Elephas maximus indicus: one gene and its partners. The protein of the gene in region 4 purifies or fractionates together with the protein of the main gene of each other region. This does not show direct contact. Links are inferred from orthologs where the notes say so. Each region holds a gene or a part of one and is shown on either strand. Other genes may lie near its edges.

Evidence for each region.
Region 1: the proteins of melanoma-associated antigen 10-like (region 4) and FOXJ2 purify together in Homo sapiens (affinity purification with mass spectrometry; 3 studies listed by BioGRID and IntAct, counting the BioPlex papers as one, with this or other methods). This does not show direct contact. The link is inferred for Elephas maximus indicus from reciprocal best matches to the Homo sapiens genes MAGEA10 and FOXJ2.
Region 2: the proteins of melanoma-associated antigen 10-like (region 4) and QSER1 purify together in Homo sapiens (affinity purification with mass spectrometry; 3 studies listed by BioGRID and IntAct, counting the BioPlex papers as one, with this or other methods). This does not show direct contact. The link is inferred for Elephas maximus indicus from reciprocal best matches to the Homo sapiens genes MAGEA10 and QSER1.
Region 3: the proteins of melanoma-associated antigen 10-like (region 4) and KAT2A purify together in Homo sapiens (affinity purification with mass spectrometry; 3 studies listed by BioGRID and IntAct, counting the BioPlex papers as one, with this or other methods). This does not show direct contact. The link is inferred for Elephas maximus indicus from reciprocal best matches to the Homo sapiens genes MAGEA10 and KAT2A.

The regions. Positions count from the first base shown.
Region 1 is NC_064822.1:65,288,979-65,297,558, forward strand, and holds the start of FOXJ2 (forkhead box protein J2), read right to left. Parts: upstream 3,170-8,580; 5' UTR 2,021-3,169; intron 2,015-2,020; exon of another isoform or gene 1-2,014.
Region 2 is NC_064825.1:88,066,485-88,074,867, reverse strand, and holds the start of QSER1 (glutamine and serine-rich protein 1), read right to left. Parts: upstream 3,406-8,383; 5' UTR 3,346-3,405; coding exon 3,161-3,345; intron 3,147-3,160; exon of another isoform or gene 1,332-3,146; intron 1,323-1,331; exon of another isoform or gene 1-1,322. UniProt on the Homo sapiens protein: Plays an essential role in the protection and maintenance of transcriptional and developmental programs.
Region 3 is NC_064837.1:49,073,576-49,081,387, forward strand, and holds the start of KAT2A (histone acetyltransferase KAT2A), read right to left. Parts: upstream 3,075-7,812; 5' UTR 3,028-3,074; coding exon 2,689-3,027; intron 2,552-2,688; coding exon 2,428-2,551; intron 2,102-2,427; coding exon 1,956-2,101; intron 1,849-1,955; coding exon 1,759-1,848; intron 1,479-1,758; coding exon 1,297-1,478; intron 1,201-1,296; coding exon 1,009-1,200; intron 108-1,008; coding exon 1-107. Other genes in the region: HSPB9 (heat shock protein beta-9), read left to right, coding at 4,418-4,897; RAB5C (ras-related protein Rab-5C), read right to left, coding at 6,528-6,643, 7,132-7,225. UniProt on the Homo sapiens protein: Protein lysine acyltransferase that can act as a acetyltransferase, glutaryltransferase, succinyltransferase or malonyltransferase, depending on the context.
Region 4 is NC_064846.1:4,211,367-4,218,090, forward strand, and holds melanoma-associated antigen 10-like, read left to right. Parts: upstream 1-4,917; coding exon 4,918-6,003; downstream 6,004-6,724. UniProt on the Homo sapiens protein: Not known, though may play a role in embryonal development and tumor transformation or aspects of tumor progression.

The DNA of each region.
Region 1 (8,580 bases), on a different chromosome or scaffold from region 4:
TGGTAAAGTAGTTTTTAAGGAACAGGCCGCTGTTACACCAAGTCTGGCTCTTTAAAAAAGGCAGGGGAGGAGGTCCTGGAGTGAAGAGCCTTTTGAGATGACAGGCATCAGAAATAAAGCTCTCTCATTAGCTCTCGAAGGTGGTCCCCGCCTGAGGCTGCACTGTCCTGCTGCTTAGGATGCATGTCGAGCTGCCATTCATGAGCACTCCCACTGACCAAGGGAAGGCTAAGCCTTTTCCCAAGCTGGACACTCTTCCTGGCATCTTCTCCAGGTCCTTGCACAGGGTCACCTGCTTCTAGAGGCCTAATGAAAACATACATTAGGCCTCTAATTGGAGGCTTAGTCCGAAAAGCACAGATATACCTGTCTCTGCACACACACCCCCTCCAAACACGGAGACAGAGAGCCACAGACACATGAATTGAGAAGCATAACGCACACTGTTCTATACCACAGCCAAAGAACCTACACTTTATAACCGTGCCTCATATACCACTACTAACAGGTAGATTCCAGGACCAAATGGCTGTACTTAGGGGCTTCGTCAGCCTATCCACCGTCCAGACAGAGAAGGAAGAAACATAAAAGCTCAAGTAAGGTGAAACCTTCCACTTGGCCTTACTGCGGGATATAACTCTCCCTGCAGAAGATAACATATTTTCTAATGGCAAGGCAAGAAGGTAAGCACCCAGCTAGTGACCCAAAATCGAAAGGCAGGGCTCTACTAAAAACCAGAGCTTTGAACCCCTGCTGAGAGTTTGCATTTCCACCCCAGATATACTGAACCAGAATCTACAGTTTAACAAGATCCCCAGTTGATTCCTATATATAATAAATTTTGAGAACCACTGCTCTACTAGTGGTTCTCAGAATTGGTCCCTAACTGGCAGCGTTAGCATCACCTGGGGACTTGTTAGAAGTGCAAATTCTCAGCAGGGGTTCAAACTGGAAGGAACCGGTTCAAAGCCCTGCTAAAAACATAGCCTGGGCTCAGCTAGAGGAATTTCCTAGCACCTTTCTCCTACTTTTTCAGCAAATTCTGGACTGTGATGATTCCTACTCCTATCTTACTAGAGAAAAGTTAAATACAAGGTTCCAGGGACTCAAAATTGAACAAGAAAATGAGACTATTAGGTGATTTTCTCCAAGGAATCTCTAATACAAAAGGCTCCTTAGAGGTTAAATCTCCAAATCTCCTTAGTGGTCAGCTTATTTAGATGGAAGCCTGGAATGAAGCTGGTGTAATATTCTCCTCTTTCTATCCAGGGCAGAAGACCTGTGAGGCACTTGGGCAGTGATGCAAGGCCAGCATCAGGGAAGAACTTCAACCTGGATCTGACATCCCCTATACCCTTTTAGTCTTCTCACCTCGGGACCTGCAGGATGTCCATCTTCCTTTTGGATTTTATGAGTAGAGGCATGCACCCAGCCAGAAATGGGAATGTCATAACAGGAGACCTCTTGGTGTCTGAGAAAAGGTGAGTGGGGCCACACTGCCCTTCTTGTCAACCCAATCACCATGGGTTGGAAAGAACAGTTCTGGTGAACGTTAAGCTGAGAGAGAAGGAAATCCAACAGGGGCCCTTGACAAGGCCAAGACACAAGATGCCGCCATGAGTTTAGTGAGGACCACTCTCAGAGTGAAAAGGCCAAGGATGGAGGGGTGTGTGGGAGTCTGGTAGGGATGTGACAATCATTATACACGATATGCAAGAAGTTCTGAAAATGCAGGCATTTTCTGACATCTCTGCCCTCAGCATGGAAACATCCACTTCCCTAGGGACCTCAAATGAATCCCATCCCCTTAGTCCTCAAACACTAAGAAACCCATTTCTCAGAGTCTCTGCAGCAAGATGTGAGTTCTAATTCAGAAGCTTCCTCAAAACACAGTTCCCAGAGGATGGTATGAGTTATCACTCCACCTTTCCCAGCAATGAAACCCAAGAGCCATCACTTCAGCCTCCTACACCCACTAGTGCCTAAAGATGACAGAGAGAAGATGGAAGAAAGCACTAACCTGTCTCCAAGGTCCCCCCAGCAAAGGGAGGGAACCACTTGGTACTGGAGTTTGGGGTTGGAGGGGTTCCCCTCTTCAGAGGCAGATGATGAGTCTCATCCTCAGTGGCTCTTCCTGTACTTGGCTGAGCCTCCCAAGCTGGGGGGGGAAACTGGGTCCCCAAAGGATGAGAAGCGGAGGCAGGAGGAGGAGGGGGAGGAGGAGGAGGAGAAGGAGGCCCTACCTGGGGAAGGTGGCACACCCCCCACACCTTCCCTGTTACACTGGGGAGGAGGGGAGGAGCCTCTCCCAACCAGGAGTTGTCTCCTCCCCCTTGGGGGAGTCCCCCTCCCCCCCAAACTGGATCTTTCGCGGGTGGAGGGCAATTTCTGTCTGCTGGAGATCTGAACGGAGGGGCTCTGCCCTGTTCCACTGTCTAGGTACAAGGAGGATGACGGGGGAGGCCTTCCCTTCTCCTGAATGGCTGGAAACCGATTCTTCTTCTTTCCCTGGAGTGTCCTCTGCTTCTGAATGTTAAGACTCCTTTCCTCTGTGAGTACTGGATAGGATGGAAGGTGCCTACTCCATAGGCATTTCCCTCTTTCTCTTTGCCTCAAAACTCCTGAACTGCTGAGAGTGTGTGTTTGTAGGGGTGAAGGCACGCTGGGATGGTCTCACTCTGCTTCCTTTAAGAAGGATCACCCGTTTCTACTTTTAGGGCTCTCCTCTTGGGCCAGTATGGGGATTTTCCTCGCTTCTAGGAAGGAGAGACGCGTCCCATATAGGGGTCTCTTCTTTCTCCCGCCCAGTGGTAGGGGTCTTCTCTCCAACAGGGGGAGGGGGATGCTCCCGTCCCCGCTCCCACCTCCGCTCCTGGGGTGTCCCAGAGGGTGGGGTTTTCGTACTCCCCGCTCTCCCTGAGCTGGCCTGGGCAGTAGGGTCCGGGAGGCCCGGGCTCCCGGCTCCCGGTACTGGCTACTGTGGCGGCAGCGCCTCTTCCAGTCCCGTCCCGTCGGGTCCGCTCCCTTCGGCGCGTGGGGCTCCCCGCGCTGCCACCTCTCGGGCTCTGGCCAGTCGGGGCTCCCAGGGAGCCAGAAGGCGGACGGACCGTGCCAGGGCTCGGCTCGGGCTCGGCTCGGCTCCGCTGCAGGCCCCGGCTCCTCCCCGGCCTCCGCGCCGCACTCCGTGCCCCTCCCCCTCCCCCGCCCGCCCGGCCGCCGCCGCCACCGCCTCCCGGCGCGGGTTAAGGAGGAACCGGGCGGTGCCGAGACGCGGGCCGCGCCGCCGGGTTCGCGCTCCGCCAGGACAGCCGCGCGGCCGCACTCACGCTCCCGGGAAAGACGCCGCTGCGCAGCCCACAACCTGCAGCGCAGCCCGCAACCTGCAGCGCAGCCCGCAACCTGCAGCCCAGCGGGGCGCGCTTCGCCCCTCGCTCACCTTCCGCCACCATACAGCCTCTTTGCTTGGTGCAGCTTGCCGTCTACCCGGAATGACAACCCACTGGTCTCCACCAGGCGTGCACAGCGCGCTCTGAACTGTCACTGATTCCAATTTAGATACCCCGTAACTCTGGTACTTTGATCTTTTTGTTGTTGTTCTGTCGTATTCTGTATACAGATGAACATCCCTAGAAGCTCCTCAGTAATGTTTTTGATGGACTTCTGTTCCCCCCCCCCACAAACACACACAGAGTTATGGGGGCTGGCGCAAAATTAATGTTACCCTGTTAGCATCCCAGAGTTCGGTAAAGGCTTGTTGAATGATGAAAGCATAAAGGGATAAATGAGTGTGTAATAGAAGAAAAGTTGGCTCTAACATCAGAAGATCTGAGTCCTACCCCTTGTTTCAGCTTTGTAAACTTGGGAAGATCATTTGTTGTCTAAAATCTTGATTAGCAAAGAGGGGACCTTGATACTCGTCCTGCCTACCCACTAAGTCTGTTGCAAGTATCAAATGAGATATTTTATGTGAAAATCGTTTTTAAACTGTACAGTATACAAAGGAAACAAAATATGACTGTTGTTCAGTTCACTTGACAGGCTTTTAACAAACCTCATCCTGAGTATCACAGAGTATAGAATGTTCTCATCGCACATCTCTCTGCTCCAGGCATGTCTTTACAGAAAAATCCTCACCCAGAAACAAAACTAATGGCCCACTTCCACTTTTCCTCCTGGAGTCCTTTTATTCCAATGCAAATCCTTATATATTCCATCCTCTGCCTACTAAACTTATCTCAACCACTTTACTTTCTATCAATAAAATAATATGAAGGCAAAAATATCGTCCTTATTCAAAGAAAGACTGCATATTCAAGATTACAGCTGAATGACTGCATTTTACCTTTAGACAGTAAAATCTTTGGTCTTCTGGCTAAGTATATAATACTACATTTTATTTGCTATATGCATATATTATAATCATATATTTACAATGCACCAGACATAAAAAAACCTAAGCAATTTGCATGCATTATCACATTTAACTTTTGTTGCAATATCATCATCCCCCCCCCCAAAAAAAACCTGTTGCATCTAGTCAATTCCAACTCATAGTGACCCTATAGGACAGAGTAGAACTGCCCCATAGGGTTTCTAAGGCTGTCCATCTTTACAGAAGCCAAACTGCCACATCTTTATTCCCCAGAGTGACTGGTGGGTTCAAACCACCAACCTTTCAGTTAGCAGCCAAGTACTGAAACACTGCACCACCAGGGCTCCTAGCAATACAATGTTGTGTTATTAGGTGCAGTTGAGTTGGTTCCAACTCATAGGGACCCTGTGTACAACAGAATGAAACACTGCCCCATCCATCCTGAGCCATCCTCACAATCGTTGCTTTGTTTCAGCCCATTGTTGCTGCCACTGTCTGTCCATCCCATTGAGGGCCTTCCTCTTTTTCACTGTCCTTCTCCAGGGTCTGGTCCCTCCTGATAACATGTCCAAAGTATGTGAAACAAAGTCTTGCCATCCTTGCTTCTAAGGAGTAATCTGGCCATACTTCTTCCAAAACAAATTTGTTCCTTCTTCTGGCTGTCCATGGTATATTCAGTATTCTTCACCAACACCATAATTTGAATACATCAATTCTTCTTCAGTCTTCCTTATTCATTGTCCAGCTTTCACATAATTATACCTAATTTACAGGTGAAAAAACTATGACTATAACCATGTCCAAGTTCACGTAATTAGTGAGTAGCAGAGCCAGAACTTAAATTCGAATGGCTCCAAAGGCCCAGCTCTTAACCTCTATGCCATTGACTGGAGCTGGGCCGGTAAAGGCAAGTCATCCTCAAAAGCAGTGAAGCCTAGCTGAGCCTTTTCTTCCTCATGACCCTCCCAGTATCGTTCCAGATTTAAAGCTGTATTTTTCCCTCTCTTTGAGGCATTCATTCACTCTCCCATGTGCTGTTACAGAAAAATGATTTGGCAGCAAGTGTTTCTTGCTGTGTGTTGGATACTTTGTTGTTTCATTGTTCAACTCTTTTTGGCATTTATTATGTATGATGGGAAATCTAGGAATGAATTAAAATCCTTTCCTGGAGATCTGGAAAAATAAAAAGCTCAAGAATTTATTTGATACATACAAGATATTTGCTACAGCATTAATTGTAGCTAGAAAATTAGAAACAACCTAAATATCCATAATAAGGTAACTGTGAAATCAATTATGATACAGCTATATAATATTATTAGCTTTTAAAAGAGTAATTCTATTTAACTCTGGAAGGTAGAATTAATGGGAAGTTGTTTTTCTTTTTATAGATGCTCCCTACCGTTTAGATATTTTGCAATAGCCAGGCATTATTTTAAAGAGTCAATTTTTATCATATATGTGAATATATTCAAGTGAGAAAATAATATTAAAAAACAGCTTGTATAATATATAGCTGCTTTTTCAAATATATACATATGTGCATATATACTTGTATGTGTATATGTATGTATATATGTACATATACGCACACATATATTGATGGATTGCACCAAATATGTGAGATTAAAGATGATTTTATTTATTTCATTGTCCACTCTATAATCAGTGTTCATATGGGTTTTACTTATATACTTTTTAAAATTAGAAATAATTGATAAGCATTGTGTGGTTTGGTTTTGCCCTAAGACAGAGGGGAGCACTTGCATTCATTCTCCCTTTACTTTCTATTAAGGATGGTGATATGGAGCAGGATAAAAATACTGACATTAAAACATGCCATGAATCAAAATATAAGAATCTACCCTCTCTGTAATGGAACATAAAATTCTTCATAGTATTAGTCTACCTTAAGTAAAACTCTTCTTCATAGTATCCGCGGGAGACCAGGCAACATTTCACACTGTTGTACATAGGGTCGCTATTAGTTGGAACCAACTCCACGGCACCTAGCAACAACAGTATGCTACAATACACATTTTCATAGCATTTATGAAACATAGTGGATAGAAGAACAGCCTACATGGATTCAAATCCCAGGTTTAGCACTCAATAACTTGGAACCTTGGATAAGTTACTTAACTGCTCTGTGTCTCAGTTTCCTCATCAGTAATAATAGTACCTATTTCACAGTGTTGTGGAGGGGTTATATGGCTTTATACATGTAATGCACTTAAATAGGTGCCTGAGAGAGGAGGAACCTAGAAATCAAAAGAAGCTTAATAGACATATCAACCAAATGCAATATATATGAACCTTTTGGGGATCCTGATTTGAACAAAGCAACTGGAAAGAATATTACAAGACAATTGGTGAAATTTCAACACATTGATGATTTGGTGATTAAGGATTTATTGTTATGTTTTAAGCGTGTTAATGGTATTGCGTGTGTGTGTCTGTGTGTGTGTGTGTGTATGTTTAAATCTTTGTCTTTTAGAGATGCATATTTAAGTAGGGATGAAATGCCTGAAATTTTGCTTCAAAATAATCACCTATGGGGTTAGGTAGGGAGTGTAGATGAAAAAAGATTGGCCAGGTGTTGATGTTACAGCATGGGGTTTTAAAATACTACTTTTGTATGTATTTGAAATTTTGTAAAATAAAGTTTTTTAAAAATACAGTAAAAAAAGGTGTCTAGAAAATAGTATGGACTATGTGTTTACGATTATAGGCTTTGTATGCATTATGTTCTTATGTTAATTACAGCTTTCAGATTACAAGCTTCTTTCACTTGCACTATATCTTTTAGTATTCAAACTAAACCCATGAGGTAGTATTATTATCCCCATTTACAAACGAGAAAACTGAATCAGAGTCAACCCTGCAAGGCCGTGCAATATACCACCTTCACTCTTCCAGCTTGTCAGGGGACCAGTGGTAAAAGGAATAGGAAGTAACCCACAGCCACTAGACATAGGGTTCTCCTTGCTTCCTTTAATGGGTGTAGTCAGATCTAGTAGGGGAAAGACTAAATCAACACACAAATGATTCATTGAGGCATATTATCAAACACAATTTGAGCTCGCACTGACACGTCAGAAAAGTTCTAGCTGCTACGTTAAAAGGTTATCTCGGGAGATAAGAGACTAAATCATAAAGGAGTACTCTGCATAATCTGTAAAAACTGTTTCTTACATAATTTTATTTCCTTTACCTAACATGTGTATTCGTCCTAAAAAAATAAGGAAGTGAACTAAGGCTAGGGGACTAGAGATGAGAAACTGTATGGGGAACGAGGTTGGGAGGCAGGAGGATTTGACATTCCAGTTGTTTCGAGGCCCACTCAACTGTTCTGTTCCACCTTAACAAGTTCTAGCCTCTCCCCAAACGCAGAATGCATTCGGCTCCTCCCACTCCCGTGTCAGCCCCGACCCGGGAACGTGGGGAAGGGAGGAGAGACGCGCTGAATGGAAAGACTGGCGCCAGAGGCTGCAGGGTCTCTCCTTCCCGTACCCTACCGGCACCGGGAGGAGCGTGTGAAGCGCGGGACAGTGGGACTTGGTTCCTTCCCGGAAGACCTCAGTAATGTGGCTGTTGTTCTACTGAAACCCTGGAGCGAGGGGGCGGGAGGGGGGAGGACGGAGGAAGTGTAAGGCGTAGGGGCCCATCTTGGGGTGGGGCCGAAGTGGGATAGAACTGGGGCTCAGGAGATATACAATATGCGAGCTTTCTGGTTGAAAGCTCCTGGGGTCGGGACGTACCTCTCCAAAATATCTCCAAAACAGGGGGCAAGTTTTCCATTCCCCGCCTTAATCCCCCATCTTCATTTTAATTGGTTGGGCTTAGAGTAGGCTGGGCCCAAGGTTGCTTGCTGATTGGCTACGTATCTTATCTATCACGGGTTGGAGCAGGCGAGGACGGTTATTTGAGGGAAGTGAAGACTATTTTGGTACATCCTACTTCAACTGCTGATTGGTTGAGGTTTGCAGTGATGTAAAACTAGGCATAAAAATGTCTAGTAAAAGGAAAGGCCGATTGGCCACTCTTTCTAGGAGGCGTCCAGGTGAGACTGAGAAGAATCAGCCGGGACTCTGTTGTTGTAGGGAAGGAACAAATTGAAACCCGGAAATGAGTTAAGGAGGGAGCTGAAGGAAAGCGAGGGAAATCCGCGACACCTTCGTTGCAGGGTCATTTCCTGTGTGAGGCCG
Region 2 (8,383 bases), on a different chromosome or scaffold from region 4:
CATATGGAAGCTGACCATTTTTAGAGAAGCTAATCATTGTCTTTTTGGAGGAGTACCTATCACATATATTACACATTCATACTATAAAAAGAAAGTACATATGTATTAGGAAATTCTAAAAACTATCTTTAGCGGCAAAAAGTAAGACTGTGTTTCAAGTTAGAAAGGCCAACAATCAAATATAAATCTAAAAACAAAGTATTTCCATTCACTCTCTCGGGTGTATTCAAATGCAAACACGACATCCATCACTATAATGAAACAGCCTGTCTCTTCCTGTTCTGCAAAAGATATAAATATCAGGTAGAAAAAAGGGCAGTAAGTCTGCAGTTTAATGCTTCCTGACCATCGTTTTACTTCCAAAAGCTGCAAGGGTATTTACAGGATCTAAAACAACCCCACAAAAATTATTTCCAACTGCATGGTGATAGACAAAGGATATGTTCTTTTGGTACCTAAATCTCAGACAAGCACAAATAAACGGACATTTATATAAGCAATGTTTATACCTGAACTTTTCATGTACCTAGCAAACACTATTTAAGATAAAATGCTGGGTTTTCCCATTGGCTCATTATTTTTCAACTGCTAAAACAACAGAAACACCTGATATCTGATGGAGCCGTTTTATCCCAGAGTATTGCTTCAAAACTCATGAAGAATTGTTTACCACGCTCTCTCCCCACCAACTGATGAAAATGTTTCATTTCAGGATCAAAGACATAAGGTAGGTTGTTAGATCCCATGTCAGTAACAACTGCATGTCATTACCATCTGTCAGCTTCTGAAGAGGTTATTAGAAACAAGGTGACAGACAAGCTAATTCTTTATGGATAAGTATCTGTATTACATCATCACAACTAGTACTCATTTGCACCTTCAGAAGAAACTGCCACAAAGGGGAACAAAAACATTCAACTGCTACATTAATTATGAAAAAGCTTTTATAAATGTTATACAAATATGAAGAAGCTTCTGAAAATGCAGAATATTTAAAAATTTGCAGGACATATTTCAGATTCTGTATTTTTTATATAACTGAAATCAAAGAGGACATTTGCAGTTTGAGGAATAAAATGAGGTACAATTAAGAAATGTGTGCAGCCCTGTACAGATGGCCTGATCCTAACACAAGATGTTAACAAAGCAGGTTGGTGGGGAGAGGAGGAAAAGCCTGCATTTCCTACACTGCAATTCAGCTGACCCCACCCCAAAAAATATTTTTTTTTATAAAGGAGTTGGAGGGGGTTAGCATTTAAGTATCAATTACTTCCAATAAACAAAAAAATCAATCTTTTTTTAGATTATGTGTTCCAAATGAATCTACTTACTGTTTTCAAATGTGTTTGGGAAGTCATTCTGTGTTACTTTGATAAATAACATTTGGAAAATATGACAAGTAGATTTTAGTTTCTTGCCTCAGAAGTACTCTGCTAAAAGAAATAACAGAAATAACTAGGTTGCATTTGTTTCATTTACCTAATAAAACATTTTACATCTAAAATATAAAAAATGCTGCACAAATACCTATCATTGATATTCACTGAAGAGTAATTTTAATTTGTAAATTATCATATTCAATGCAAAAGCTCCTTGAAAAATGATAGTCAAATTACTACCAAAAGGAAATAACTAAAGGGCCAAGTAGCTTTCATAAAACTCCTTAAAATGTTTTAGTTCTATATAATACCAAATAATGGCTGTTTCTGAAGGGTTTCAGCGATCAATTTAGCTCCAAAATGGCATATCACTTTTTTTTTTTTAACCCAGTTCTTTTAAACAAAGGCCCTAAAATTTTCTACGAAAGCTACATTTTCCTTTTTATTGAACCAAATTGTTCTCATTCTCATTCACAGTCATTCCAAGGTACAAACTAAGACAAAGGCCAGCTACATATTTTCCAAATCATGAACACAGAAACTTTAATTAAAAACAAGCAGTCACCTAAAACACTATAATATATAAAATAAAAAAAAAAGTTCACTTTTCTGAAAATAATGAAGAAATCGGATGAGATCATAAAGCCACAAAGCTTCCTGTTGGTAACTGAGGATGAAGTCATTAGCAACCCAGGATTCCCCGGTCCTTGTAATCAGAAGCTGCACCTACCAGATTCAGTATTGTTCGGAAGAGGTGGCTTTAAAACACCCCGCTCCCAAATCCTCCAAACCAGACCACGCCTTCCAGTTATCATTCAAATGGGACCGTTTCACAGTGTGGTACTTCTACACATATTTCACGACCTTAAATATTTAGTAAGAGCCAACATTCTAGATTTCCTTGGTCATGCTGGAGAAAAGATGAACTCTTGAACTCCGCGCTACATAATGAACCCGGGCTTCAGAAACGGAGATGCAGAAGCATGCTTTGGTTCTTCAACCTTTATGGCCTTCCTTGACCCTCCCCCCAAAACCTTCCCAACTCTTGGTCACCTCGAGACACAGAAGGAAAAGAGAGGTTCCTTACTTCCTGCTGTTGTTAAAAGGGGCGGGGGGGGACGACCCAAGAGTAACTTTGAACGCGTGGAAAAGAAATCTCGTTCTCTTGGCCACCACAGCAAACATATGTCACCCAGCCCCGGCACAGCGTTCGCGCCCCGCCTAGCCCCGGGGTTTCTCCCGCAGCTCATTCCTCCCGGGTCTCCCACTGTCAGGGACACAGTTGGGCTCGACTGGGCTTGGAGGCGCCTCCTCTCCCCGTCTCCCCCACTCTCACACCGCCGGGGGCCCCAAGACCACATTGTCGGCCACTCAGGTTCCAATACAATGGAATATCACTGCCCGGAACTCCCGGGCGCCCCCCTCGATTCCCTGAAGCCAGTCCCGGGTCTCCCCGATCGCCGAGTTCAGCCACGAGCCCAAACTTCACCATGTGAGAGCCCAGGACCCCAGAGGGTGACGGAGCCCCACAGCTCCCGCCCAGCCCTCCCTCCACCCGCGCTCCCCGACCAGCCCCAGGCGCGAATCCTGCACTGGGCTCCCCCATCCAGCCCGGGACCACCCCAGAGGAGTCATCAGCCGCCTCTCCCGGCGAGGGGCGAGGCGAGCGGAGGCTCTCCGCCCGGCCCGGACCCCTGGGCGGCGCTGCACCGGCGCGAAGGCCCCAAACGCATCCCCGGCCTTTCCTGGCCCACCGCGACCCCGCTGCCCACCCTCCCTACCTGGCCTTGAGGCTGGGGCTGCTGCCGCTGCTGCAGCTGCTGCTGCTGCTGGCCGCGGCGGCGGCGGCCCCCGGTTCGTAGGCCCAGGCGGGGGCGGGGGGCTGTGCGGCAGCGCTGGCTGCGGCGGGGGCCGCGGGCGGCGGCGGTGGGTCGGCGAAGCCCGAGGTCGCGTAGTTCCTGTCCATCGTAGGGGCTGCGTCGGGAGGGCGGGCGGCACTGGGGGCTCCTCTCGGGCCCTGTGTGAGGGGGACGGGCGGGGGGGGAGGGGGCGGGGGGAGGAGGAGGCGGCGGCGGCGGAGGGAGCTGCCCCCTCACATGGCCCCGGCGGGCGGGCGGGCTGGCGGGCGGGCGAGCGGACGGCGCGCTGGGGCGTCTGTGCCGGGGACTCCGGGGCCGGGGCAGGCGGCGAGGCCCCAGCCGGGCGTCAGGGAAGTGGGGGCGCCCGCAGCCGGGACTCGCGGCGGCGCCCGCGGCGGCGGCGGCCGCTTCGCCCCATGTTGGTGGATTTCCCAGGATGCACCTCCCGCCCCCCTCCGCCCCACGGCCTCGCCCCGCCTCCCCTCGGCGCCCCGCGCTCCCGGCTCGCGGGCCAGACGGGCGGCCGGTGAGGCCGCGGCCCGGCGGGTTTATTCCTGAGAAGCAGCCGGCACGGCGGAGGCGCGAGGCCTCCCGGCCCTGCCGGCACTGGCGACGAGGAAGGACGCTCGCTTGCCCGGCTGGCGAGGCCGTAGTTCACGGGTCGCGGACTTCCCGCTCTGGGCAGCTCGGAGGGGAGCTGTCAGCAATCGCCGCGCCCTGCGTGGGAGGGGGCAGCGCCTGGGGCTCGCCCCGCGCGGGGAGGGAAAATCGAGCGGAAACTCAGGGTAGGGTGCTGCAGAGGGGGTGCCTTGTCAACGCTTTGGAAGGAGTTCGTTATTTGACCCTTCCAGTTATCTTGAATGACTCAAATACTCAGTTCCCACATTGCGATTTTTCTCAGCGCTTAGCCCCAAACCAGAAACAGCTGAGCAGGCTCTTTTACAGTTCCGCTTACTCCCTTCCTGCCCAAAGCTTGCTGGGCTATAGAGGACCCTTTTCCTGCTGTTAGGGGTAGTTTATATTCAAAGAGATTTAAATTCAAACGTATTATTTTCCAGTCCTCGTTGAAAGGGCCTTTCCCAGGGGCTCTTATTAACTGTTCCCCACCCCCACCTTGGGGATTTTCTCTTTCTGGATTTCGGAATCTTCTATCCCAAGATAAATACTGTCTCTTCATTGATTAATCCAACCACCATCTGGATGGCTTTAATTACAATAAATTTAAACTTGCCATGCACACTTGGTGTGAGGGCTTTTTGTTTAAAGACTTGGAAGTTAAGCAGGACCCTCTACCCAAACATTTCCTCTCTGACCTCCAAGCTGTTTGGTGTGTGGTAATTTAACGATTATTTGAGATTCTTCTATTGTATATCAAGGTTGTGTTTCTTTTAATAATTAATGAATAGAGGCACTCGGAATCATAGAACTTGTCAAGTTTGGCCCTTAAGTCATAAATTAAAAAGTTAAAAATAACAGTAAAATTTATATTTACTTTAAAGATCTCCTCCCTTTAAAAAAAAAATCAATATTAGTTTAACACCTAATATATGCTCAGCACAGAAATCTCACCCTCAAGATAAGCCTAACAAAAGTTTAAGCAAACCAGACAGACATAATAGAAGGCCTAATAAACTTGATACACTATCTCTGGTCACCGATTTTTAAAAGCAGTTTAAACTTGGTTAATACCCATTTAACTGATACTGGATCTGCTATTCCTTCCGAGTTTGGCTTAATCTTTCCTGAGATTGTTTTCCTCCTGGAGCCTACATCCTTTTGTTTCCATTCATTCCTTTTTGTAAATCTTTCTGCACCTGTGATGCTTGGAGCCTGGTCCTGGAGTGAAGAAGCAAGGAAGTGAGTAGTTGTTATTTGCAAATGAATTCAACATGTAGATACAAGTGACCTTGCCAATTTTATGCTAATTCCCGTATGCATTTACTGAGGTTACCTTTGAAAAGTGGCTTTCCTTGGAGAAGGAATTTGATAATCTGAGATCCTGCATAGAAGTAACATAAATCATCCTTACAACATTTATTTTCTTCTTGCAGACTTGAAATCTATAATCTAAATAAAACAAAAACGTTTTCATTACTATTACATTTATGAGTACTTTTGTGAGCACTAAAGTTTTGTCTCTATGGAAAGTGTAGGAAATGGAGTGGCATGCTATAAATGTTTTATGGCACTTAGTTTGAGATGCCCACAACTGGTACTCTCAGAGTGAGTTATGCTGGCAATACCAAACAAGTGGCAATAAAATCTTTATAGTCTCTCACACCATTATGTAGTTTGTTTATGTCACATAAATCAGAGAAAAGATATTAAGGGAAAATTTTAGTATTTTTAAATACTACTGTCACTGTATGTGTTGTTCCTTTGCCTGTTCAGTGAAATTTCCTTAGTTTACCCAAAGTCAACACAATTATATTTCCACATGTATATAACATGTCTACAAATAAAAAAAAAAAATAGCAACATTAAATATTTTTACAATTTGGTAAAATTGATGATTCTATTTGAAGAATGTCTTCTTCCCTACTGAAAATATACTCCCAACTCTGCAGCCTTGTCCTGGTCTCTCAAATTATACTCAAGTTGCTTTAAGTCTGAAATAGGCAGTGTCAAAAATCTAGAATGAATTTTGTTGTTCTTGTTCTAAATAAGGAAACCCTGGTGGCATGGTGGTTAAGAGCTATGACTGCTAACCAAAAAGTTGGCAGTTCGAAATCACCAGGTGTTCTTTGGAAACTCTGTGGCGCAGCACTCCATCCCACAGGATCGCTGTGAGTCAGAATCGACTCGATGGCAACGAGTTTTGCTTTAAATAAAAATTTCCATTCCATTCTTTGCCTATGGAACTCCTACTCATCCTTTAAGATCCGAATCAAAATGTCTTTCTTGACATTTCCCCAACTCCCCCAGGCAAAACCACTTGTTTCCCTTTCAACTACCCCATGGTGCTTTATTCTGATCTTTATTATATTTAGCATTATCATGTTACATTACAATTAGTTGTGTATCTGCTTCTCTTCCTCATATATTATGAGTTCCTTACAGGTAGGGGTTGTGTTTAATTCATCCGTGCATCACCAGCACCTAGTACTATAAACCCGTTGCTGTAGATTCCAACTCATAGCGACCCTATAGAGCAGAGTAGAGCTGCCCATAGGGTTTCCAAGGCAGAAATCTTTAAGGATAGATTGGCACAGTGGCTGCAACAATGTGTTCAAGCATAACAATGATTGTGAGGATGGTGCAGGACCAGGCATTGTTTCCTTCTGTTGTGCATAGGGTCACTATGAGTCAGAACCCACTTGACTGCGCAACAACAATCTTTACAGAAGCAGAATGCCACATCTTTCTCCTGCTGAGCAGTTGATGGGTTTGAACTGCAGACCTTTGGGTTAGCAGCCAATCACTTTAACCACTGCACCACCAGTGCTCCTCCTAGTACTATGCCTGGCACTGTTTTAGGCTCTAAATAGAAGTTTATCGAGTGAATAAATACACATACAAAACCTAAAAAAATCAAAGCCATTGCCATCAATTTCAATTCATAGTGACCCTATAGGACAGAGTAGAACTGCCCCATAGGGTTTCCAAGCAGCAGCTGGTGCATTCGAACTGCCAACCTTTTGATTGGCAGCTGAGCTCTTAACAACTGCACCATTAGGGGTTCCTACTACTTTTAAAATACCCATTCAGAACTTCCATTTAGTCATTACATGTTCTTTCAACTAGGAAAAAAAACCTATTTGTAGCTCAGTCCCAAAATTCAAGGATAGGGTTCGAAAATAGATTAAACTAAAGGCGGTTTGGTTGCAAGATGAATCGAAGTAAGTCTTAGGAAGGAGTCTTTCCTCCTACCCAGTCTCCCCATTTACACTCTCTTCTGATTTTATTGTCTAGGAGTTAATGGTGATTTACATAATGTACACCAGTGTTCATTGCAGCATTACTCACAATAGCCGCAAGGTAGAAACAACTCGAGCGTTCATCAAGAAATGAATGGATAAACAAAATGTGATATATATGCACCAAGCCCATTACTCTGGAGTTGATTCATACTAAAGTTATTGTTAGGTACCATCAAGTCGGTTTTGACTCATAGTGACCCTACGTACAACAGAACAAAACACTGTCGGATCCTGTGCCATCCTCACAATCGTTGTTATGCTTGAGCCCATTGTTGCAGCCACTGTATCAGTCCATCTGGTTGATGATCTTCCTCTTTTTCGCTGATGCTCTACTTTACAAAACATGACAACCTTCTCCAGGGACTGGTCCCTCCTGATAACATGTCCAAGATGAAGTCTTGCCATCCTTGCTTCCAAGGAGCTTTCTGGCTGTACAGCTTCCAAGTCAGATTTGTTCATTCTTCTGGCAGTACGTGGCATAGTCAGTATTCTTTGCCAACACCATAATCGAAGGTATCTATTGTCCTTCCCTCTTCCTTATTCACTGTCCAGCTTTCATATGCACATGAGGCAATTGAAAACACTATGGCTTGGATCAGGCACACCTTGGTCCACAAAGTGACATCTTTTTAACACTAAAGAGGTCTTTGGGAGCAAATTTGCCCAATGTAAAGCATCATTTGATTTCTTGACTGCTGCTTCCATGAGTGTTGATTGTGGATTCAAGTAAAATGGAATCCTTGACAACTTCAATCTTTTCTCCATTTATCATGATGTTGCTTATTGCTACAGTTGTGAGGATTTTCTTTATGTTAAGGTGTGATCTATACTAATATAGATTTTGGATGCAGGCTGCCACATCTATAGTCTTTGTGCTTCACTTTCAGCAAACAAGGTTGTCATCTGCATATCACAGGTTGTTAATGAGTCTTTCTCCAATCCTGATGCCCGTCCTTCTTCTCAGATTATCTGCTCAGCATACAGATTGAATCAGTACAGTGAAAGGATACAACTCTGATGCACACTTTTCCTGATTTTAAACCACGGTATCCCCTTGTTCTGCTCAAACAACTGCCTCATGGTCTATGTACAGGTTCCTCAGGAACATAAAATTAAGCGTTCTGGAATTCTCATTCTTTGAAATGTTATCCATAATCTGTTATGATCCACACAGTCAAATGCCTTTGCATAGTCAACAAAATACAGGTAAACATCTTTTTGGTAT
Region 3 (7,812 bases), on a different chromosome or scaffold from region 4:
CTGGGCGGGGCACCAACTGTGTTCCCTCTGAGGGTGGCATGGTGAAGCCGGACTCCCAGATCGGAGAGTTTGCCCCATAGATCTCCTCCTCCAGCATGGACAGGAATCTAGGGAAGGGTGCAAGGTCGGTCCCACAATCCTATCCCTCCAACCAAGGGTGGAGCCCTGGGTCAGGCACCCAAAGGGGCAGGAGGCAGGGGAAAGAAACAGAGATGCTCTCAGGGAATTGAGAGCCTGAGAGAGGAGACACCCTGTACCTTCTGTGAAGCCCTAGTCTGAAGGGAAAGGAGCAGCCCTCTGCCTTCTGGGAGCCCCCATCTGAAGTAAGAGAATAAAACACTTCTAAGGCAGAGATCCAAGAGGCCCACTTCCTGCCACGATGGGCAGCACAGGGAAAAGAACACAGGGAGACAGGGCCTGCACAGATGCCACCTGTGTGTATGCCAAGCAGCACACTGAGTTACCTTGAGACTCAGTCCCCTCAGTGTCAAAGTGGGGCTCAGAGTCCACCCCTTCCTGCCACTTCTTCCCACCTGGTGGTAGGAGGAGCTCTGGGGAGCCAGGATTAGTCAAAAAAAGCTTCTTGAACAAGAGAGTTAGGAGCCAGACTTAAATGGGAAGAAAACAAGGCTGAGCAGAGGAAGATATTACAGAAAAAACTAAGAAGGGATGGAAATCAATCTCACTTCAGGTGGAAACTCTGGTTTCTGGGAGTGCTGCTGGGGGAAGGATTAGTCTAAGGCTGTGTCCAGGCCTTGCAGAAACAACTAGTAATGTCTTCTACCGCCATGAGAGGGGTAGCGTTAGCACTCATGCCACATCCCCGCCATCCCCAGACTAGCATATACAAGGCAAATATCAGCAGGTTGGGTCTGGGCTGGGGCACCCAGATCCCAGAAGACTCATGGAGGGGGAGAAGGGATCACTCCAGGAAGGCATCCCAGAAAAAAGGGGACAACAGCAAAGTGAACTTGAGAAAAGGTCCTGAGAGGCCAGAATGAACCTTACTTGGGGAAATGGGTGAGGATAAGGGTCCTCTTCTCAGGCACCAGCTTGTCCTTCTCCACTCGGAACTTCTCCAGCAGCTGCCGGCGGGTAACGGTGAAGATGGAACGGAGCAGGCTTCGCCCAAAGACATGAGTGGTCTCGTAGCGGGGTAGACTATCACAGCTCTGAGGTACGTGGCAGTAACAGAGCCATCTGTGCAGGTGGGGGAAGTGGCAGGTGAGGGCAGAAAGCACTAAGCCCAGGCTGGGCCTACACGCCTCTCCACATGCTACCCCTGGCCAGGCCTACCTGGTGTAATTGACCTTGTAGGTGGCCACATCCTCAGCCTGGGACCTCTGCCGGAATTGGGCAGGTGTCTCAAGCTTCCAGTAGTTAAGGCAGAGAAGAAACATCTTTGAGAGCTCGAACATCGTCTGCCGCTCCCGGGGAGCCAGGTGGCTGAACTTATACTGCACGAAGTTCAGCACACCCTGAGAAGGAGCGGGAGGAGGAGGAGACAAAACAGGGCTTGAGGCATGAGCAGCCAGCAGGGGCTTCTTACCCAAAAGCAGGTGTTCCCTGAGGGCAGAGACAAAGCTCTCCTCTCACTATGGGGCTCTGTGCAAAGATAAACTATGTCCCCCTACCCACAAAACATTCTTCCTTCTCTGAACCTCTCTCCCATACTCAACTTGAGGAGGATGAAGAACATAGGCTCCCCACTTCTCCAAGGTGTCCCCAGTTCTTGTCTTACCACATTCCCCATCCCACCTGCTCAATATTAGGCTTCTCAAATGGGGGGCTGCCCAAGGACCCCTCCACCACGGGCCGGGTCATCTGCAGGATGCATTTCCGCAGGAGCTGGAGGTAAGAGAAAGGGGCAGAGTACCAGTGTGCAGAGCTCTGAGCTGCAAATGCCCCATGCCTCACCTCCTTCATAAACCCTCCCTCATTCGTTGAAAGCTCACCTTGAAGAGGTAGAAATACACCTGCTTGGTGTCTGTGTCTTCCTCCTTGTGAACAGACATGAACAGATTCTCCACGTCTACCACCATCCCCAGCAGCCGGTTAATCTCATCCTCAGACACGTTCTCCAAGTGGGACACGTGATCAGCTGCAAGGGAACAGGTGGTAGAGTTGGGAAGGTTGGGTAGAAAAAATCTACAGGGGCCTCCTTCCCCTGTTCGTAGCCAGCCAAGATACATCCTCAGCCCCTCAAACCAGAGTGACCAGCCAAGGAGACTGGCTGCTTCTACACAGGCCCTTGGGCAGCCCCATTTCCTTTCTCCTGTTTTGAGGCATATACATGCCCAACCTAAGCCCTCCTGAGAAGGCATCTTTGGTTTTTCAGAGATGAAGCTTTGTGGCACTTAACTCACCCTGTCCAAGCAGGGGCCAGCAAGCCCCCTCCCCAACGTCCGAGGGCACTGCATGCCTTACCCAAGGGATGCTCACAGCTGCGGCACAGCTCGCTCAGGTTGGCGGCTGGCTGCTGCAGGTCCATGCGGGGTGCAGTGGGGGGCTTGGGGTTTTTCCAGCCATTACACTTGCAAGTTTCATTGGCCTGAAGGCAGAAGGATCAGTGAATGACCCCATACCCAGGGGCAAGGAGCCTCTCCCCTGCCAAAGCTTGCCACCATTCCCACCCAAACCCTTGGATGCCCCAGGCCCCGCCCCTTTCAACACAGGCCCCGCCCCCACCTTGCAAGCCGAGAAGACCCCTAGCTTCTCGAGCTTCTTGGCGCGCGGCAGCCCCCGAACTTGCGCTTTCCTCTGGCTGGCGCGCTGCTGCTGGCTCAGGCCAGGTCGAGCCGGATCCCCCCCGCTCCCGGTCCCCCCACTTCCTACCCCGGGTCCCCCAGTCCCTGTGCTCCCGGCTGGGGCTGCAGCTGGGGCGGGTGCTGGTGCCGGAGTGGGAGCTGGAGCCGGGGCTGAAGCAGGGCCGGGGGCAGGAGCCGGAATTGGGGCAGGGACTGGGGATTGAAGGGGACGGGGCTGTGCGGCCGGGGCCGGGGTCGGGGCCTGGGAAGGTTCCGCCATGGCCTCCCCCACAGAGGAGAGCGGCGCGGCGCTCCCAGCCCTAGGGCCGCATGGGCAAACGGCGCTCAGTGCGCAGGCGTTGCTGCACTGGCGCATGATGGGAATTGTAGTCTTCCATCGCCGCTCCCCTCTGCCTCCAGCTTCCAGACTTTTCTGTCCTGGACCCCGGACCCAGGCAGCCAAGTAAAGCACGAGAGATCGGCCCAGATTCATCCTTCTTCACTTCTCATCCCTCTTGGAGCCTTCCGCGATAGTCAAGACTGTTGTTCTCTTAGGGACAAGGAGGAGCGTTCGAGAAAACAGAATCGTGGGCTCTGTCTACCTTCAGAGCCCGAAGGTCGCATTGACTTCACCGCACACCTCTCTCCCCTACACCCCACCCTCGGCAAAGGCCCTGCCCCAAACGTCTTCCCGGGGACAGAATGGCCGCTCCAGAAGAGATTAAAATTTAGTAACCCTTTTATTAGCTGTGTAATGGTTACGTGAGAGTGTTCACTTTTTTTTGCACTTTTGTGTATATTTCATTAAGAGTTTATTTTTAAAATGCTGAGTCCCAGAGGCATGGCTGTGGTTACAAAGAAGGCTACTGGGGTGGGGACGAAGTGGCCGCAGAGGAGGACGGCCGCCTTTCCCTGGCACTGGACCGACTCTGCGGGAAACTCTCCTCCAGACTGTGAGTTCCTGACGGCAGGGCCCATGTCTTCATCTTTGTGGTTCTAGGGCTCAGCCCTTGTGCCACCTGGCAGGCCCAGCACTGGAGGAATAAAAGGCCGGAAAGACTCATCCACCTACCAATCTTCACGGGTGTGGGAGAGAAGCCATTGTGCATGGTCAGGGAAAGGCAGGACATCTAGAGAATGGATGACCCGGAAAGGCCATACTCCACTGGGGGCAGTTCTTGTCCCCAGGCCTGATTCCTGGAAGATCAAGACAGCCTCCCCGCAGCCCGGAGGTTCGGTCTGTTCCTGGGTCTGCGCTTCTGAGGCTCCAGGTTGGGGCTCCCGCAGTTCAGGCAGGTCCAGTTCAGTCACAGCCTCTGGCCTTCCCTGGCCCCCTGACAGAGGTGGGGAAGGGCCCTAGAAAGGGGCAGGATCCCGAGTGAAAACAGGAGCTGAAGCGCCAAGGCAGCTGACAACCTGACCCTTGGGGGTAGGATGAGCATACCTGGCCCCGAACTCTACCAAAGTGAATCTCACCCGAGCGCAGCCGCTTTGCGGAAGTGAAGGGGACCGAGCTGAACTGAACAGAGCAGAGGGGAGCCAACCACGCTTAGTGCAGGAGAGTCCTTTTCTCCGGAGCTGCACCTCGTAGGCGCCCTCGCGCCTCTGCCCAGTTCTGAGCGAGCCCTGCGCTCGGGGCGCACGCGCTTGGACAGCAGTTGCTCACACCGATGCAGCGGGTTGGGAGCGGCCTCTCCAACGAGAAGCAGGTGGCGGCGTTCCGCCGTCCCAGCGTGGCCCTCGCTGAACAGAACCAAGTGGCCAGGCTACCGGTGCAGCTACTCAGGGACCATCTGGCAGCTGCGCAGGAGGACCACGCAGAGGGCGGTTTCCAACTGAAGGTGGATGCCCACGGCTTCACCCCGGAGGAGCTGGACGTGCGGGTCGATAGCGGGCGCCTGATGGTGACCGGCCAGCAGCACCTGGAGAGCTGTGGCCCAGACGGGGGCAGCTTCTGCATGACGCGGAAGGTGCACCGGGAAGTGCAACTACCGCCCGACCTAGATCCTTCCGCCATGACCTGCTGCCTGACCCCCTCTGGCCAGCTGTGTGTCCGAAGCCAGTGCTGGGCGCCGCCTCTCCCGGAAGCCCGTATAGGGCCGTCTCCCAGACTCAGGGGCCTCAGCTCTAACGGTTCCAACCTAGCCTGAGCCAGTAAACAACCTCGGTGTGCAGCAGCCTTGGTGTCCGTGGTCTTTTCTGGGGGTTGAGGTCAGAGATAGGGAAGCTGCAGGTGGAGGGAGACACCTCAAGGTGGGGATCCGCCAAGAATCAAGGCCTTTGTAGCCCTGGAAGCTGGAGGGCAGTGTTGCCCTACTCAGCTCATTTCACTGCTAGGGCGATAGCCCCCAGCCTGTGGCAGTCTGAGCTCTGGCTCCGGCAGGGAGCAGCAGAGGGCCAGAGTGCCCAAGCTTCACCTGGCTCCAGAAAGAACAGAGGGCCCTGAGAGACTGGGACAGGATGGCCTGGCCCTGGTGTTTGGGGGGTGGTGCTGTGGGGACACAGGTGGTGAGGAAGTCAGGTGGTGAGGAAAGCCAGGTGTGGCAGCCTTGGCCTTATGACCGGCTGGAAGTTGTAGAGGTCATCGATGTCCCTCCTCAGGGAAGAGGGTGAGAGTCCCATACAGGCCTGACACAGACAACCAAAAACCCCAAAGGGGCCACTTCTGGTGTTTCAGAAGCCAACAATCTTCAAATATAGACTGCACAGCACCACCATCTATGCTGGACGGGGAGGCCAAGGCAGGACCCTCAATTTAAACTCGGTGAGACTCAGCCCCAGGTCAGTCTGGCCCTATCCCTACCCGCTAAGAGCTGCTAACAGTAAGGGCCTCTTTCTCTTGGTTACCATGACCACCAGCATCCCCTCACATTAGGGAAAAAAAGGCTTTTCACAAGATTAGTGGTTCGTTTTAAATTAACATCAAGAAAACTGGAGAGGGCATGGTCTGATAAACTCTGCCAGAGAAAGACAAGACAAGAGCGAGGTCGATCGATCGGCTGACTATATTGACAAGATACTGATTGGTTACATGTTGAAGAAAACATACAATACAAAATACAGAAAAAGTTGGTTCCATCCCCCCCACTCCCCCCCTTACCCACCCACCCCCAAATACTCATCGTGATTTGGTCAGAACAGGGCTCAGAGCCAGAGGTCAGGGTGACCAAGGGGGTGGGGGTGGGCAATGGGTTCGTGGCTGTCACAATAACGTGTGATAAGTAACTGTAGTAATGTTGTGGGTTCTCTCCCAGCTGGGGGGGCGGGGGGTGCAGCCTGATGACAGCCTGCTGCAGGAAGAGCTTGCTCTCATTCCCTAGCCTCCAGGGCCTTGCCGGCCACCTCAGACGAAGCCCGCTCCAAACAAGGAAAGGGTGTGGATGCTCTTGCTGAGTCTGCTATTCAGCAAGAAGGAAAGGAAGGGTAACTGCTCCAGCCCCCTGCCCCCATATACAAGGGTGGGGGGCACAGGAGCATGTGGCTACTACCAGCAAAGGAAAAGTGGGGGAGCTGTAGGAAGGGAAGGAAGTGGGAAGAGCAGAAGATCATATATATTAAAAAAGTGACTTAAGACTTAAAATTGAATTAGTATTTGTACAGAAAGGTGCAGGTGGAATAGCTCACTCCGGCCTATGACCAAAATCATATGGAGAAATCATGGTGGAGCCCTCCCCCTGCCCCCCCAGCGGTGGCCCAGTCGTTAAGTGCGATTGGTTAGAGTGGATTCCAGTCGGGTCGTACAGGCGGAGGAGGTGGGGGCAGTGGGCAGGCAAGGGGGGCTCAGTTGCTGCAGCACTGGCTCCGGCTGGCTGGGTTGTTCTCCTGAAGGTCCACGCCTCGGTTCCGGCCTGGAGCACCAGCAGCATTCTGGGGCTCATTCTTGGGAAGCTTCTTAGCTGTTTGAGACAGGAGGAGAAAAAAATGCATTTGAGGGGGATACCCAATACTCTCTCCTAATCCTACTCGAGTAGAATCTGGCCTTCACCATTCGATCAGTGATAAACCACATACCGAAGGCTTTTACGTGCCAGGCATGTTCTGAGTGTTTCAGGGAACTGAGGCAAAGAGGGGTTAAATAACTTGCCCAAGGCCACAGAGGTAGGATTTGAACCCAGCGGGATGACTCCAGAGCCTAGGCACTAAAAAAAATCTTAAGAAGTGGGTAGGGGGATGGTGATGACAGTCTTTGAAATGGGCAGCAAGCTAAAGTGTGAAGGAGTAAAATGCTGAAACGCTGGCCCAGGCTTTAGAAAATTCTGGGGCGAACGATCTACATCGGGGAATTAGCTGAAGAAGACTATTTTATCAGAATAGTGAAGGGACCCCCGGTGACCTACTACAGAACAGCAACCAAGTGACGTGCCCTTGATGAAAGGCAACTTACCTATTGCCATGAAAATTTCATTCACATTCATTGCAGTCTTTGCTGATGTTTCCATGAACAGCAAACTGTTGTCATCTGCATAGGCTTGTGCTTCCTGATTCAGATGGAGGTGAGAGGGGGTGGGAGGGAAATGTCGACAGTTGGCAGTGGATGGAGCCCAGGATAAAAATTATCCCTGATCACAGTGCCTTAGATACAATACAGACAAGCTGGACCAATGCAGGGCTATCAGGCTTAAGGCTTTCCTGCTCTGGGTCTCCTGAGACATCTGTCCCACATCCCGATCTCCTGTTAGTTTAGCACTTCTCAGCTCACACACATCACCAGATGTCTTCGAGGTTTTTCTAGGTCCATTCTGCCTTCCTGATCTTGAAATTACTAGGCAGGAATATTTCTCGAAAGTTATTCTACAAACACACTCACACATTTGGACAAAAGCACAGGTATGTGGATGGTGACCACAGCACTGTCTCTAGTCTGCTGTTATTACAAGCAACCTAGGAGTCCATCAATAAGGGGCTGGTAAAAGTAAGTTATTATAATACAGAGCAACATGCTCCCAGCTGTGAAAGAAAGGGATTCATATGCACGTGCCTATTTCTGGAAAGATAAGAAACTGGGGAACCAGGGAGAAGGGAATCTGGATTTCTAAGGTTAGAAGGGACTTAGATTTCATTCTAT
Region 4 (6,724 bases):
GAATCGTAAATTGGCAGCTATTTTTACTCCATACTTGGAAGAAATCACGCCATTTTATTTCGACTTCCGGCTTCCGCATATGAGACGATTGAAAATATCATGGCTTGGGTCGGGCACACCTTAGTCCTCAAAGTGACATCTTTGATTTTTGCAAAGCAAAGAATCTGTTACTAAAACCTGACAAAATTGTATATTATTTATATGTGTGTATATATATATATATATATATATATATATATATATATATATATATATATATATATATATATAAAAACATGGAAACCCTGGTGGCGTAGCAGTTAGGTACTATGGCTGCTAACGAAGAGGCTGACAGTTTGAATCTGCCAGGTGCTCCTTGGAAACTCTATGGGGCAGTTCTACCCAGTCCTATAGGGTTCCTATGAGTCAGAATCGACTCCACAGCAGTGGGTTTGGTTTTGTTCAATATATATAATATATATATGATGAAGTCACAGAAAATATCCCACATGAACAGAATAGCAAAAATGCTATCAACAAATCAAATTCAGCACTATATATTAAAAAAATGTGTTCTCATTGCGTATTTACAGATGAGGGCCAGAGATGTTCAGTGATTTCTGCAAGGCCATGCAGCTGGTAGGTGACCCTACCTCTACCTGATTCAAAACCCACACTCTTCCCAATGCAATGGCATCCTAGGTGGTGAGGGCTGGCTTTGCAGTGGAAGGAGTTGTGATGAGGCTCCTGGGCGGGGAACAGCCAGCCTGGGTCCCTTGTGCAGGTTCCAGGCTTGATTGGGACAAGGTGCAAATGCAGAGTGTCCCAGGGGCCTGGTCTAGGGTCCTCTGCCCCGACTTCCGGCTTCCATAGCCCCGACCTGCCTCCAAGTTGCTACAATGAGCTCTCCCTCCACCGACTTACTTCCCCAAGTCCCCCCCCACCCCCCTCCTTGTTGCCAGGCCATTTTGCTGGTGGCAGGCCAATGGGTGCAACTGTTGCCTCTGGAGGCGGCCAGCGTTGCCAGGCAGACCCTTACCATGCAGGTCCCGGTGCCATGACAACACGGACGTCTCCTTACGTGCTCTCCTGCTGCGCCCCCCGCACTGAGACACGAAGTCGGCCTGCCTCCGCTCCCCGGGGGCTTCTGGGAAAGCCGGGAAGGCCACGTGGCCTTGGCGAAGAGGATGCCGGGAGGCACGCGGCTGAGGCGCGTTTCCGGATCTTTCTGAGGGGGTTCTGGAGGGGTCCGCGGCCGGAGGCGCCGTTTCCCCAGGGTCGTGGGAGCGCACGCAGAGTGGTAGGAGGTGAGCGCAGAGGGCCTTCTCTGTGGAGGAGCCGGGAATGACCGAGCCCTGGGTCAGGTTAGGGCGTCGCCGGGCGGGGCCTGAGGGGACTGGCGGCCGGAGTCTGGGTAGAGCACGAGGCGGCGTGGGGGACCGGCAGGCTCGAGGGCTGGCTGAGAGGGATCCCCGGTGATGAGGGCCCGAATAGGGTGCTGTCGGAGAAGGGAGAGAGGGGTCCCGGCCGCAGGGCTGCAGATGGGGGGGAGGACTCCCGGCCCGGAGGGTTGGGGGCACGGAAGGGGCAGTCCAGGTTGTCGGGCGGAGTAGGGCGTGGAGGGGACTCGCGTGGTCTGGCGCTGAGGGTGAGGGGAGGGACGGCCTCCTGGCTACAGGGAGGGGTAGGGCGGGGGCCCCGGGGGCTGAGGGGGGGAACTGGAGGCTGCGGCGGGGTGCGGCGTGGTGACCCCCGGTTGTGGGCGTCTGGGTGGGGCTTGGGAACGGGTCTCCTAGCCCACCAATGGCGTTCCTCTTCCAAATACGTGTGCCCTCATTTCCGGCTCAGGGATGTTGGGAGGTGAGGTTTTAGGTCTGAGGCGGCTGGTTTCAGGTCAGCAAATGGAGGGGTCCCAGGCTCTGCTAGGCTGCAAAATGAGGACCTGAAGGAATACTGAGAGAACCCCAGCCCTGGAACAGAGAGTACCCCAGTCTCGTCAGACCCCTGCTGTCAGCCCTGGGAGATCCCGAGCAAGGCTGTCAGGCAGAGGTGTGGTCTCCCACTACTTTCTTCTCAGGGGTCTCAGGAAGATGTCAGGAGTAAAATATTTTGCGGTTATTGAAGATGCCCCCTACCCTACATAAAGGCCCCCTCAGTGGCTCAGCCCCTGCTGACAGCCCTGGGAGACCCGCTGCGGGGGGGGGTGGTGTTTCCTGACTTCCGGCTTGGGAGTCCGAGAGCCGAGGCTGGTCTGAGGGGTTTCAGCCTTGGATCCAGGCCTGGTCAAGCCTCCACGTGAGGATGAGAGAACCCGGAATCTCAGAATATAGAGCCCCCCCCCCGAGGGACGTGCCCCTTCTGTTAGTCCTAGAAGACCCAGGAATATTTCAAGGACTGGGGCTTCCACTCAGTTTTGCCAGTACCTGAGGGGCGGCGCATTGTCTGAAAGCGGTCTCAAGCACCAGAGGGGAGGGATCCCGGCCCTGCCAGAAGTAAAGGGAAGGACTGAGGGGACCCCGGGCCTCAGAACAGAGGGGTCCCAGAGAAATACACCTCTGCTGTCCGCTCTGGGAAACCCCAGCTACCCCTTAATTCGGCCCCGGGGTCTGAGGTAGGCGGGACGTGGTCTTAGCGGGTTATCTCAGATCATAGGAGAAGAAGGGGCTTTAGATCATGAGAGGGGAGGGGTCCAGGCCCTGGCAGGAGTCAAGTGTAGGACTGGGGGAACCCCGGGTCTCAGAACAGAGGGGCCCCAGAGAACCTGCCCCTGCCATCAGCCCTGGGAAACCCCAGCTACTCCTCGATTCGGCCCCGGGATCTGAGGGAGGCGGGACGTGGTCTTAGTGGGTTATCTCAGATCATAGGAGGAGAAGAGGCTTCAGATTATCAGAAGGGAGGGGTCTAGGCCCTGCCAGGAGTCAAGTGGAGGTCCCTGAGACAGGAATAAGGGGACCCGATGCCTCAGAACTCTCTGGAACCCCATAGAATCCGCTCTTTTCTGTCAGCCCTGGGAAACCCTGGACAAGAGTGGCTGAACGTGATGGGCCCTTATTTCACCTCGGGCGTCTCAGGGAGGTGGGACCTCGATCTGAGGCAGGACGCTTCAGGTCGTCTAAAGGGGGGACCCAGGACCTGCCAGGTGTCAAGGTGAGGACCCTCAGGGAGGGCTGAGGGGAATTCTCCACACTCACAGAAACTGGCCCAGCCCCCACTGTCAGACCTGGAGACCCAGGACATGGCTGTAAGGCTGAACCAACTCCCACATTTCTGCTGAGGAAGATAAAGGTCTTGAACTGAGGGGGCTGGGCTCAGGTCAGCAGAGGAGTCCTGGGCCCTGCCAGGTGTAAGGTGAGGACTCTGAAGGAAGACTAAGGTGACTCTGGACACCATAACGCTGCTACCCCCACCCCTCGCCCATGCTCTCAACCCTGGGAGATGGAGAGGGGGACAGGGGTGGCCTGCTGTGGTGTTTTCTTACTTCCGCCAGAAGGAGCTCTCAGGGAGGCTTGGTGTGAAGGTTAGCAGAGAGAGGAGTCCCGGGACCTGTTAGAATCCTGTTAGGACCCTGAGGATGAATTGAGAGCTCCTCCCACCCTATACAAAGGGGACCCCACAGAATCCCACCCCTGCTGTCAGCCCTGGGAGACCCCAGTTAGAGGTGGCTTCATGTGGAGCCTTCTCATTTCTGCTTTGGTGACGTCAGGGAGGGCAGAATCTTGGACTGAGAGGTGGGAAGTCAAGTCAGTGAAGGGAGAAGTCCCAGGCCCTGCCAGGAGTCAAGGCGGGGACCCTGAGAGAAGACTTAAGGGACCTTAGACTGCAGAACAGAGGAAACCCTGCAGAATGCCCGCCATAATCTTGCTGTTCATCATGGGAGGACCTAGTCAGTGGTGGTTAGATGTGGCCCCACTCACTTCTTTGGAGTGAGGGGGATGAGGGAGAGAGGTCTCAAGGAGATGAGGCTTTGGTCTGAGGAGGTCCACATACAGATGTGCAAGCACTTACACGAGTAAAGATGAATGTCCTGAGAGAGGATTTGAGGATATCCTCATCTTAGAAGTAATGGGCACCAGCTTTGCCCTGCTCCTTCTTTCAGCCCTGAGAGGCCTTGAGTAGGTGTGGTTAGTGGGGACCCCTTCTCCTCCTCATAGACCTCAGGGATGTGATTTCTTGTTCTGAGAGTCTTCTCTCAGATCAGCAGAGGGATGAGGACCCTGAGTGAGCACTGAGGAGACCGCCAACCCTGGAAAATGGGGACTTCCCAGAGTCCACTCCACCCCTCCCGTGAGTGCTGGGAGACCCAAGACTGAACTTGCAGTCAGCATCCTCAGGTGCCCCTCAATTCCTCTTTCAGGGACACAAGGAACCAGGAGTTGAGGGCCTTGGTCTGAGGCACGTGTCCTCAGGTCAGCAGAGCGGAGAAAGCCCAGGCACTGCCAGGAGGCAAGGTGAGAACACTGAATGTGTACCAAGGTCCCACTCACCCAAGAAGAGAGGGAACCCCACAGCCCCTGACCCCACCCACCCCACTGTCAGCCCTGGAAGCCCTGGCTACACCCTGAGGAGCCGTGTCGTTTTCTCCTTCAGGGCCTTAGGGGACAGATAGACAGGAGACGTGTGAGGCCTTAGAGAAAACTTGTAAGTTGGCCTTTGTTGGAGCCATGAAGGTTGAGTTTCATAGCTAAGGCCACTCATACTCTCCCTGCCTTTCCCACAGGCCTTTAGGCTCCCATCACCCACCCTCTTCCTTTAGGGTCCTAAGGGACAGGGTGACAGGAGACCTGTGAGGCCCTAGAGAAGACCTGTAAGTTGGTCTTTGTCAGAGTCGCCAAGGTTGAGTTTTTCAGCTGAGGTCCCTAACACTCTGCCACTGTCTCCTGCAGGCCTGTGGGCTCTCACAGCCCACCCTCCTATCTGCACTCCCCGACAAGAGTCACCATGCCTCGCCCATCAAAGCGTCGGCGTTACATGTTTGAGCAAGACCTTCAGCCCCAAGGTGGGACGCAGGGCCCAGAGGGAGGGCAGTTTCTTGTGGCTGAGGAGGAGGAGGCCTCCTCCTCCTCCACCTGCTCTTCCTCTTTCCCCTTGTCCTCTTCCTCCTCCTCCTGTCCCCTGAACCTAAGCACCCCAGAGGAGGTTTCTGCTACTGGAACACCCAGTCCTTCCCAGAGTCCCCAGGCATCCTGCTCCCCCTCTGCTGCCGTTGCAGCCAGTCTGTCCAGCAACTCTGCTGAGGGCTCCAGCAGCCCAGGGGAGGGTCCAAGCACTTCACAGGCCCAGCCAGATGCTGAGGCCTTGCTCAGAGAAGCAATAGATGATAAGGTGGCAGATTTGGTACAGTTCCTGCTCCTTAAATATCAGACGAAGGAGCTCACCACGAAGGCAGAAATGCTGACCACAGTCATCAAAGAGTACCAGGACCACTTCCCTGTGATCTTCAGGGAAGCCTCGGAGTGCATGCAGCTGGTCTTTGGCATTGACATGAAGGAAGTGGATCCCACCAGCCACTCTTATGTCCTCGTCAACACACTGGGCCTCACATATGATGGGATGCTGAGTGGTGATCAGGGTGTGCCCAAGACTGGCATTCTGATACTTATTCTGAGCATAATCTTCCTGGAAGGCAACTGTGCCCCTGAGGAGAAGATCTGGGAAGCTCTGAGTGTGATGGGCGTGTATGTTGGGAGGGAGCACTTCATCTACGGGGAGCCCCAAAAGCTCATCACCGATGACTGGGTGCAGGAGAAGTACCTGGAGTACCGGCAGGTGCCCGACAGCAGTCCTGCCCGCTATGAATTCCTGTGGGGTCCAAGGGCCCACGCAGAAACCAGCAAGATGAAAGTCCTCGAGTTTTTGGCCAAGGTCAATGGCAGTGACCCCAGATCTTTCCCGTTTTGGTATGAGGAGGCTTTGAGAGATGCGGAGGAGAGAGCCCAGGCCAGTGTTGCTGCCACGGATGCCACTACTGCCATGGCCAGTGAAAGTGCCGGGGCCATGTCTGGCAGCTTCTCCTGCCCCAAGTAAAGTTTCAGGCCATCCATTACTCTGTGTTTGAAGAGGGTGGTCACAGTTCTAAGTAGTGGAGGGCAGGGGCGTAACATCTTTGTGTTCCTGTTTTGTAAGGGTGACTTGTAGCCTTATTTCTTTTTCTTGTTGGTGTTTTTCAAATGCTGTTCTCTTGAATAGATAAGGTTTAATTAGTTTCAGAATCTAAGTTTATCGGTGGCATCGATCACACATTTATTGCTTTTTTTGTGTTTCAAGAGTAAGAATTTTGTTATTTTGTAAAACAAATTGGGAAACCTTATATCTCATTCAGTGATTTGAACCAAGATAACATGGCATTGGAACAGGAATTTCTTTGGAAATGTGAAGTAACTCAGCAGTAAAATAGAAAAAAGATTTTCGGATGCCTTTATTCTTTTTAGTCTGTTATTGTGTAACATTAAAATATATGTATCTGGATTTGCTTGGCTGATTCATGAATGTAGGAGAAATTAAACTTTAATAAATGGAAGCCCCTGCTCACTGGCTCATTTTTTTCCCCCAAACGTGAATTGAGCATCTGCTGTTTGGGAGACACAGTGTTGCGGGGGGACAGGGAGAGGTCCTCATAGGATGGTAGTGTCCAGGAGCAGCAGTCATACAGGAGGAGGGTACCATGTCCCCTAAGACCTGCAGGCCCAGTACAAGAGGGTGTGGGGAGCTGGGGTTCCAGGGGGGAGCCGCCACGAGTAAATGCCCT